Linked DNA regions of Arabidopsis thaliana. The protein of the gene in region 2 binds, or shares a complex with, the protein of the main gene of each other region. Each region holds a gene or a part of one and is shown on either strand. Other genes may lie near its edges.

The links. The genes of interacting proteins can lie anywhere in the genome.
Region 1: PnsL1 (region 2) and Pnsl5 share a complex: the UniProt entries of both Arabidopsis thaliana proteins name them as parts of the chloroplast NDH complex.

The regions. Positions count from the first base shown.
Region 1 is NC_003076.8:4,161,178-4,166,842, forward strand, and holds Pnsl5 (cyclophilin 20-2), read right to left. Parts: upstream 3,747-5,665; 5' UTR 3,544-3,746; coding exon 3,520-3,543; intron 3,427-3,519; coding exon 3,214-3,426; intron 3,070-3,213; coding exon 2,827-3,069; intron 2,244-2,826; coding exon 2,189-2,243; intron 1,995-2,188; coding exon 1,909-1,994; intron 1,696-1,908; coding exon 1,537-1,695; 3' UTR 1,197-1,536; downstream 1-1,196. Other genes in the region: G6PD2 (glucose-6-phosphate dehydrogenase 2), read left to right, coding at 13-463; AT5G13130 (Histidine kinase-, DNA gyrase B-, and HSP90-like ATPase family protein), read left to right, coding at 5,578-5,665. UniProt on the Arabidopsis thaliana protein: NDH shuttles electrons from NAD(P)H:plastoquinone, via FMN and iron-sulfur (Fe-S) centers, to quinones in the photosynthetic chain and possibly in a chloroplast respiratory chain.
Region 2 is NC_003071.7:16,473,818-16,479,146, reverse strand, and holds PnsL1 (PsbP-like protein 2), read right to left. Parts: upstream 2,950-5,329; 5' UTR 2,813-2,949; coding exon 2,753-2,812; intron 2,671-2,752; coding exon 2,589-2,670; intron 2,504-2,588; coding exon 2,399-2,503; intron 2,306-2,398; coding exon 2,232-2,305; intron 2,146-2,231; coding exon 2,023-2,145; intron 1,936-2,022; coding exon 1,864-1,935; intron 1,780-1,863; coding exon 1,683-1,779; intron 1,598-1,682; coding exon 1,494-1,597; 3' UTR 1,304-1,493; downstream 1-1,303. Other genes in the region: ABCB6 (P-glycoprotein 6), read left to right, coding at 1-898; RPL23AA (ribosomal protein L23AA), read right to left, coding at 3,243-3,327, 3,416-3,779, 4,083-4,098. UniProt on the Arabidopsis thaliana protein: NDH shuttles electrons from NAD(P)H:plastoquinone, via FMN and iron-sulfur (Fe-S) centers, to quinones in the photosynthetic chain and possibly in a chloroplast respiratory chain.

The DNA of each region.
Region 1 (5,665 bases), on a different chromosome or scaffold from region 2:
GTAAAATTACAGTGCAGAGATAAGGGTGCAGTTCAGGCATGTTCCGGGGAATTTGTATAACCGGAATACTGGTTCTGATCTTGATCAAGCTACAAATGAGCTTGTGATCCGTGTCCAACCAGATGAAGCAATCTATTTGAAAATCAACAACAAGGTCCCTGGTTTAGGAATGAGATTAGATCGCAGTAACTTGAATCTTCTATACTCAGCAAGGTATTCAAAGGAGATACCAGATGCATATGAGAGGCTTCTGTTAGATGCAATAGAAGGAGAAAGAAGATTGTTCATAAGAAGTGACGAGCTTGATGCAGCTTGGTCGCTATTCACTCCATTGCTTAAAGAGATTGAAGAGAAGAAGAGAATCCCTGAGTACTATCCTTATGGTAGCCGTGGTCCTGTTGGTGCTCATTATCTAGCTGCTAAACACAAGGTGCAATGGGGTGACGTCAGTATTGACCAGTAAAACATTTTCTTGTTTGTATTCTCTTTTTTTTACATTGATAATAGATTTATCTAGGATTCAAGCTTTTTCTACGCCTCTTTTTACAGCTTTAATTTGTGCAATTTGGTTATGTACCATTTAATAAATAAATAAACCAAAGGGGTTTCTCTTATTCTCTACAAGGAAAATGTCTTCTTTTTATGGTGTGCTCTTCTAGTATTCAGAGATATCTTGTATCTAGAAAAGGTTGACCAAAAAGAAAGAACACTAAAATACAAACATGTGATAGGTACAAGTAATTATATTGTTCATTAATCTGAAAGCAGACTTTATATACAAATTGATCGGATACATGTTCAACAAGTCCGCTGTAGCACACATGCCAATTTCACAACAGAATTTGAAATCCGGGCTCAAACCTCGGCAGCGTAATACTTTTTGGTTCAATTAGTTAGTTTTCAATAAGATATCAGACTTTAAATACAAATCACTCATATACAAAACCAAAAAGTCCGCTGTAGCACACAGGCCAATTTCACTACTCAATATGAAATCCGGGATCAAACCCCGGCAGCGGAATACTTATTATTTTAATTAGTATTGTTTTCAATAAGATATCAGACTTTAAAAACAAATCCCTCGTATATAAATCAAACAAGTCCGCTGTAGCACACAGGCCAATTTCACTACTCAAAATGAAATCCGGGATCAAATCCGGGCAGCGGAATATTTTTTGTTTCAATTGTTGTTCTTACTTTTTTATGAAGAGATCGGACTTTAAATACAAATTGCTCGTATACCAAACCAACAAATCCGCTGTATTACACAGACCAATTTCACAACTGCATCGACTACTCTTGAATCTTCAGATTTTGTATCTTAGTAATGCAACTGAACCGCTATAACACAATGGTTAATTTCGAAACAAACCAATGAAATGAAATATGAGTTCAACACCCGGCAGCGGAATACTATTTCTTTCTTAAATTTTTGGAAGAAGGGGATACAAATCCATTACACAAAAGAAAGGGTTGTAAAATGCAAAAACAAGCTCCATCTCATGTCTACAAGATTTTGGTTAAATGATCTTACTTTTAAGCTTCAGACATTGGAAGTTGACCACAGTCTGCTATCACCACTTTCTTTCTGGGACGGTCTCCTCTGTCTGTCTCTTGTTCCTCTATCAGCTTCACCACTTCCATTCCTTCTATTACTTGCCCGAACACCACATGTCTTCCGTCCAACCATGACGTCTGTCCACATCGTTATCGCATATTAATTTGATATACACTAAATTTCCCAACAAAGCTTGGATGGTTCTTCGTTTCCAATTTCAAAACTCTACTCTTTAGGTTATATTATTGGATTCTATATACTGTAATACCTGTGTTCTTTATTGTTGATGCTCGCTTGCCTACGTATAACTTCTAATTTAACAATAGGCCTTAACCAGAGGGAGATTTTACCTTAATAGTGCAGATAAAGAACTGACTTCCATTTGTATTAGGGCCAGCATTTGCCATACTTAGAACTCCTGGTCCGACATGGGATACTGCAGCGTATAGCACATTATTACTTTCATGAATTTTATAAAACTGAAGGTTTGGTATATATTATACTCAGCTCAGCTAAAAAGAGAATGCAGAAATGTTTAGTTAAAATGCATTACCACTGATAAATATGAATGCTAAAGCACAGCTGGGGAGAATGAAGAAGAAGGAAACAAGTGAAAAAGGATAGACTTACACTTGAAATTCTCATCCTTGAATGTACGGCCATATACACTTTTACCTCCAGTTCCCTGCTCAACAATTAGACTTCTGTATCATTATTATGGAATTCTCCTAGCAGTTACTAGAAGAATCTTCGGTAACTGAGATGGGCAGAAACAGAAAATAACAATATATTTCTACCGAGCTACAGCTAGTTGCATACCCACGAACCAGTATATAAGTTCCCTACAGCCCAGGTATTATCTATATAGAAAAGAACAAAAGTCTAAGATTAACAGGGGTTGTTCTTCTAAAGCCACTGATCTACAAATCAGAGAGCCAGCTATCAGAAAGATTGTCTGTAGAAAGCTCTCCAAAGGTCAGGCTTTTTCCTATTAATGTACCCAAACATGTGCTTTCAAGAGCGACTCTAAATCCGTACAAGTAAGAACTTAAGCATCCTTCCTTATCGAGAAAGATTTGACTTATACTATGTACCACATCCAAGAAATTAATAAACATCCTGCCATCCTGATATGAGACAGCTTACTTTACTTTGTGATTTGGCAGAAAATAAGATGAACCAAAGTAAATCAAAAGAAACATAATATGGACCGCAAGTCAGCTAACAAGAAACTGGTGCTGCCAAGGAATTCAGCCAGAAAAACTCACATTGCCCTTCTCAAAGTCTCCTCCCTGAATCATGAAATCTCTGATGACACGATGGAATGTAGAACCCTTGTAGCCAAATCCCTTTTCACCTGTGCATAGAGCACGAAAGTTCTCCACAGTTTGGGGAACATCATCACCATACAATCCAATAACAATCCTCCCAGCTAACTTCCCCACTGGATTGCCAACACTTATATCGAAATACACCTTGTGTGTTATTTTCGATTGCGGTTCAGTAACCACCTGGAATACAAAATCCACATCATATTATGATTCCATAGCTTTTAGTAAATCTAATGGAAAAAAAAAACTAAGAGTAAGCTGAATAAAACAACCAATTCCATCAAATGACATCAGTGACTAACAAGATATGAGAGAATCCCTAACCTCAGCATTGGATTGAACAGAGAAACAGCGGTGGTTTCTTTTGGTATAAGACGTGTGAAGGAGGAGCGATGAGGCGGAGAAGGGAGTTGAAGACGAGAACGAGATTGAATCGAAGGAAGATTTGGTGCGCAATCGGAAAGAGGTAGATGTGAAAGCGGAGGTATTGATCGGAGAAAGTCTTCGTGGAGGAGCTGAGAGCGACTTCGGATTTGACTATGATGATAACCGAAAATTAGAGCAGGAGAAGCAGAAGAAGCGGAAAGGTAAAACAAAATCAAAAGTACAAAAGGGAAAAATTAAACGCACCAGAGTCATCGACAAGGTCGCCATTGGAGCTCAAAACTCTTGCTCGCGTTTGTTGGCAAAAATGGTAGGTGAAGGTGAAGGTGACGATGAGCGAGTGATAGCACGAAAGAGTCTGAGAAATACATTCCATGGTTATTTACAGTTATGCCCCTGCCGGTTACGTGGCTTCGCATCGAGTCAATTTTGAGTGGGTCAGGTCAGCCGATCCTATGAAGCATATTTACCTGTGCAAAGTGCAAACAAAGAAAAACTCATCGTATCAAAATGACACTAATCTCATAAACTAAAATACAAACCTACTATAAGAAAATAGTGTGTTCACTATTTCTGATATTTATTTAATATAAGAAAATAAAACCATAAATACAAATCAAAAATATTTTTTCAAAACAAAATATGCATCGCGCGGAAATTAACCGAGTCATATAAAAAAATTATAAATTAATACAGTTATAAGATTATATGTTGTCATTCATTACGGAAATAGAAGGTAGAGTTGATCTTGGGCTCAAGCAAGTAAAAGGCATCAACAATATTTATATAGTAGTAAACGACATCAATTTTTTTGTACCATGTATAATTTAACGGTTAAACGAAATATAGTTCAGTGTTAATTCCGTATAACATGAATTGGTAACATGCTCAATTCTCAAGACTGATTATTTGCAATTTTTTTAAAAAAATTGGGCTTTAAGCTTTTTAAAAAAAATCTAACTTCATGTTTTAATCCATATTATTGATACAAATTTTCTCTTAAAATTAGTATTTATATGGTAAAATTTTGAAAACATATTGGAAATTTCTTAGAAGTTACAAAAGTTTAGTGACAATATGACGAAATTTTTCGATGAACAGTTCTAAAAAACAACAAAATTGTGTAAATCTAAAGAATATTTATTTCAAAAAGGGAGAAAAAGAGGGAATGTCATTTGTTACTAAACAAAATGTAATAAAGTTATAGTAGAGAGGCTTTAGAGCAAGTTAAAACTAATTAAACCTTGTATCTGAGACCAACTCCAACGGCAGCCTCTAAGGGGCTTTTGAGGGTTGGTCCCTTGAATTATATAGCCCAAAATAAATTAGAAATCAGTTTAATTGAGAGGGTTGTTTCTCTCTTACGGTATTTTTCAAACAACAAAGGGACCCTACATGGCAAACTTCTATTGGTGGAGAGGGAAGAGAAGGAAAAATATGACCCAATTTTTTTCTTTTCATTTCGGTTGAATTGTTTTCATTTCGTTATTTCCATTTACGATGGCGATGTCAATGTTGATGAAAGATGATATGTGTCGAGCTCCTCATCATAGGGCGTAATAATCAAATCAAAGACTAAATTGAAAAAAATCGTTTGGTGCATCTAAATTCATACTACCAGAATCAACCATCTCTTCACAAGTTATTTTAACTACTCTACAGATATGTCTTCAAATCTCGGTAATTTTATGGTCTCTCGTGCTCGAGTTCGTGATCGGGCTATGCATCAACAATTGAAAGGTGATTTGGTTGAGCATATATAACACAAATTTGGTGGGAATCAAACTAACTACTAATTGTTATTCCGATTCTCAATATTCATTTCTTGTAGGTTTAAAATTTTAGTATTTGTATTAATTATTAAATTTTATAAAATAGAATATTTATAATTTTCATTTTAATAATATTTTTTACTATAAGAAACTCACTAAAAATTTCTACCATTAAACCAAGAAAAATTAAGAGACCAACAAAATCTCTTAAATTCAAATCTCAAATTTTAAAATTAAAAAAATTGGAAAAAACCTATTAAAAGTTTAACCATTAGGGTTGCTCTAATAACACAGATGGGCCTGTGAGTTACGAAATTGGGGCCGGGAAGCTGGACGGTTTTATTTGTAAGTCGCGCCACTCACTTTTCTATAAAGACGCTCCCACTACTTGAAGAGTCTGTGTGTCGTGCGTGTCTCACGTCTCTCTCTCCTCTCTCCCACTTCAAGCTGCTTCAAAACCCTAGAAGCTTCTACTGCAACCACGGATTCTTCTCAAATCAAGTCCAATAAACCACTGTTAGTGATCGGAGACATGGCCGAATCTGGCAGTACTAACCCTAAATCCCCATCCGTTGTTCCCGATTCGACTCTCGGTGGACTGAAGAGAGATTTAAGAAACT
Region 2 (5,329 bases):
TGCTCTTGTGGAGCCATTCGGATTAGCACCTTACATTCTCAAGCGCCGTAGATCTCTCGCTTCAGTTTTTGAAATAATAGATCGAGTTCCTACAATCGAACCTGATGATACCTCGGCTCTTAGTCCGCCTAACGTGTATGGAAGCATTGAACTGAAAAACATCGACTTCTGCTACCCAACCCGCCCGGAAGTGTTAGTACTAAGCAACTTCAGTCTCAAAGTCAATGGCGGACAAACAGTAGCTGTGGTTGGTGTTTCTGGTTCTGGAAAGAGCACAATAATATCGTTGATCGAGAGATACTACGACCCAGTTGCTGGTCAGGTCTTATTAGATGGGCGAGACTTGAAGTCATATAATTTGAGATGGTTAAGAAGCCATATGGGTCTGATTCAACAGGAACCCATAATCTTTTCCACAACGATCAGAGAAAACATTATATACGCAAGGCACAATGCAAGTGAAGCTGAGATGAAGGAAGCAGCAAGGATTGCAAATGCCCACCATTTCATCAGCAGCTTACCTCACGGATACGACACACATATCGGGATGAGAGGTGTTGAGCTTACCCAAGGACAAAAACAGAGAATCGCTATAGCTCGGGTAGTGCTGAAGAATGCTCCAATACTGTTGATTGACGAAGCGAGTTCATCTATCGAATCCGAGTCGAGCCGTGTTGTGCAGGAAGCTCTTGATACATTGATAATGGGGAACAAAACAACAATTCTGATAGCGCATAGAGTAGCGATGATGAGACATGTGGATAACATTGTGGTTCTCAATGGAGGCAAAATAGTAGAGGAAGGTACGCATGATTGTTTAGCGGGTAAAAACGGATTGTATGTCCGTTTAATGCAACCACATTTTGGCAAGAATCTACGGCGACATCAACTGATCTAAAAGAGATTGGACTCATGTGCCTAATTGAGATTAGTTCAGTCACATACCAACCATCATGTGATATGCCACGAGATAACGTTATTGGATGTAGTTACAGGACATGCATCTGATCAAAGGCTTATCGGGTCCGGGATGACAGCAGATGAGCAGAAGTTGTACAACCACGGTTAGTTTCTGTAAGCAACTTAGGAGTTTGTAGACGTTAGATTCCCTTATTCTTTCAGGAGGCTAAGCAATGAAGTAGGACTGTGTTATTTATTCATTGATTGGTCTCTTAAGGTATATCGATTTGTTTATTGAAACTGAAGATTAGAGGCAATTTTATTTGCTGAGGTTTGCTTTTTTGTTGTTGTGAGTGATTTAGGTGGAGAAGTGTGTAATGGCTAGGAAGAAATATGTCTGTTTTGTAAATACATTATTTCCACTTTATTTGCAAGTTTGATTGAATTACTGAACCAACTCAGAATCTAACTCACAATGCCAAAACCATCGTTGGAGTTATAGAGAATATGAAAATATCAAATTGTTATCTACAGACAGTTTTGTAACCACAGAGAGAGAAAGATATATAGGAGTAAGATGTTTCTTGTGTTTGTCAAATCTGAAGGATCTTCAAAGAGTCGGCCACAACTTGAAGCTGCTTTTTCACTTTCCTCCACCTTCTCTCATTTGCTCCAACTATGAGAGTGTAGTATCTGTCTGCAACATCAAATCAGTCATAACACTTGTTTATTCCTCAATTTCTTCTCTCATCTATCTCATAATTCTTATAATCTGTGCTTACTGTTTCCAACTGCCACTGTTGCAAAGGAAGTGGTTGCATAGATAGGAGTTCTTAGTCCATACTCAAACGTGTAATAGTTCTTTCCATCTTCCACCCTCTGCATTTTCATCTCTTATTGTTTATAAAGATCCAATCTCTCAACAACTTTGATGATTCTTTAAGATGTTAACAATCATCTGACCTCTTTCATATCGTAGATGGTAGCTACTTGGTTTGGTGCTGCAAACTTATGCTTCACTAGATCATAAACCACCTGATGAACATATATAAGAATGATGAACCAATGTGAATTCTCTAATGACATAGATGGTAGAGGGAAAGTAAGGTGTGTAATACATACCTCTTCCATAGGACCTACTTCATGGATGTCGTTTTTCTCCGTTGGTATGAACCTGACCCGCACATTCTGCAGTTGCAAGTATCTATCTTTGAAGGCTGAATCATGTGCCCTGAAGTCAAATTCCTACGTAGTAAGGGCAGAACAGAGATATTCTCAATTCATTTATGTTTCATTCTTTCAACAAAAATGGAAACAAAGCCATTACCCACCCTCCAGTCTGATGGGTAATAGTAAGAATACCCGTCTTCTCGATCCACAAAAGGCGAGTAGCTTTTTGGTATCTCTGCAAACATGATATGAATCAACATATTAGGCTTTTGGTCCCAAAAGAATGAAGAAGAGAGGCAAAAACAAAACCCTTAGTTTTGCAGATTACCTTCAGCAAGAAGCAAAGTTGCTGGAATTGAAGTTGCCACTAAAGTTCCTACTCCCACAAGAGCTTGCCTTCTCTTCCAATTGTTTCCGCTGCCTTTTTGGTAAGCTATTGAATTTTAATAAAAATCAATCCACACAAGTCAATGTATTACGTATGAGAAGGAAAATGTCACAAGAGTTTAGTTTCTTACTACTCTCCGAGGAGTCGGCCTTACCACCGGATGAAAGTAAACAACAAGCTTTGAGTGATGGATTTGGACAGAGAATTTCTGTCTGGTAAGAAATATGAATCAATGAACAATAATGATTTTTAGTTTTCAGAAATGGAGACTGGAATCAGAACAGTGTTATTAACCTTGTGGGAGATTGTTGGTGAGAAACCACCACAGCGGATTGAGAGTGAGGAGACTGCCATAGTGGCTACAATTCACAAGACTTTTGATGATCAATGAACATTGCCTTAGTGTTCTATGTGGATAAGAAATTTCTGATTTTCGTCATTTCTCGGACTTCTCCATTCATCAACATGTGGATAAAAGGATAATGAAAGATGCAAACAATATGTGGTGATAGATCGATTTATGATCATTTACTGGTTAGAGAAGATACTGCATTTGTATGTTTACAGTTTATAAGTTAGTGAGTTTTAAAAAGAGAATCTTGATAAGTCAAAAACATAGAACTTGAATTCAACAATAAACTGCAACATGAATGTATTGTAAAACGTTTTTGCTCCAAAATACTACAATTACCAGATGATAGTAATAATAAATATCTTAAAAGCAAAACTGAGACTACAAGAGACAAAACCACAATAGTCTTTATAACTGCAGAGATAGATAGACTTAGATGATGCCGATCTTGTTAGCAACATCCAAAGCATCATAGTCTGGTGTAAGCCTCACGTAAGCCTTCTTGGTTCCATCAGGCCTGTAACAAAACCAAACCATAGTGTCAAATATATTGAACATAATCAATCTCACAACAAGGCTTCATAGAAAAATACTCTTTAAAGTACCTGATGAGTGTGTTCACTTTCTTGGTCTGGATGTCATACATCTTCTTAACAGCATCCTTAATCTTCTTCTTGTCAGCACGAATGTCAACAATGAAAACAAGAGTGTTGTTGTCTTCAATCTTCTTCATCGCAGATTCAGTGGTGAGTGGGTACTTAAGGATTTGGTAGTGATCCAACTTGTTCCTTGGAGTAGCGCTGATTTTTGGGTACTTACCAGTTCTAGGCTTGGTAAGAGTCTTTGGCCTGTGGAAGGTGACCTTGGTCCTAATCTTTTTGTCCTTCTTCTTGAAGGCTTGACCAGACTTCACAGCCTTTGCCGCCTTCAAGGCCTTGGCCTTAGGATCAGCCTTCTTGGTAGTATCAACTGCAAATTACATACAACAGAGAGTTTAAGCATCATATAATACTTTGATACAAATCTGACTTCAATACATGAATACTCAGAAACACGTCTACAGACAAAATTCATTTGGATACTACATTAATCTCACTTAGTTGAAGCTAATCAGGAAGATATTGAAACTAATCACCTAACGAAACATGATTAGAAAACATTAATCGAGACCAGATACTAGCGGGTTCAGCAAAACTAAAGTCTAGTAGAAGAAGATCCAAATCCATCATGTTCCAGTGAAGATTCAAGTGGTTATCAATGAAAAGATCGTACCTTTAGCCGGAGACATGGCTTGAAATGATTCTTCACACACGAAATCTGTGAAATTTTTAGATAGAAACCCAGAAAGCGAAGCTCAGTAATGAATCTGAAGAAAGAAATGTAGGACGATTTCGAGAGATAGTTTGCAAAATCGAGACACGAACCTGGAGAGGTGAAGCCGCTGATTCTCAAAACCCTAACTTACGCCGCAACAAGTTTTATAGTGGAAACTGAAACCCTAAGATACTTAGTTGGGTCTATAATGGGCCTTTTTACCACAATCATCATCTAACCCAGTAAGCTTTGGATTGAATAAATGGGCCTTTTACCATAATCGTCCATCGGACGCATAAGCCATAAGTGACGAAAAATTTCATTAGAAAAAAATGAAAATGAGCATAAGATCACTGATTCTTTTGGTTGCACAAAAAGATACTTAAAAGATAATATGGGCTTGCAACATTGTAAATAGGCCTTTGACCAAAATCATCATGTAAAACCCAAATAGAAAGTGAGCGTAAATTTAAGTTACTAGTTTATTTTTAACGTAATGGTATTGGCGTAAGAAACATACAAACGTGTCTTTTGTCTTACCATACAAACGTGTCTTTTGGCGTAAGAAACATATTTGCTTCTTCTCTTGTGTCTATGACCTTTCTTTGGTTTTGCCATTCCAAAGTAAATTATTACAGAATAAAATTTAGTCAGCTTTGGTTTGACTTGAAAGCATACAATCTTTGACCAAACCAAAGCAAATCGAACAATGGCTAACCAAAAAACAAACCAATTGGTCACGAAACTAAACAATAATCATTTACTTACGCTTGACAATAAGAGAACAACAAGCCTGCTCTACATGTCTAATATTTTACGATAATTGTGAAGAAGAAAGCTTTAGCTGAACTGGCTTCTACCATTTTTCAAAGGTTCTTCTATATCTTGGGTCGGTTGTATCTAATACAGTTTTTATACTACATAATAGAGTTTGAGAGGGCACATATGTGACTCATAACCATGTCATGTCACGGGGTCGTTTAATTGCAGTTGAATCTCAACTGTACACGTGTGTATGATGACTCCTCCAATCACGTGCGAGATCCCAAATCCATTGAGAGAACGCCACGTGGATAATTAGCAGAGACGTCTCTTCTAAAGGCTGGTCCAAGTATCTCTGTGGAGGAATGTCTTACTACCACAACAGTCGTAGTAGCTAGCCTCAATCTTTCTTAATTACCGATTTTACCCTCGCCGTCTCTTCA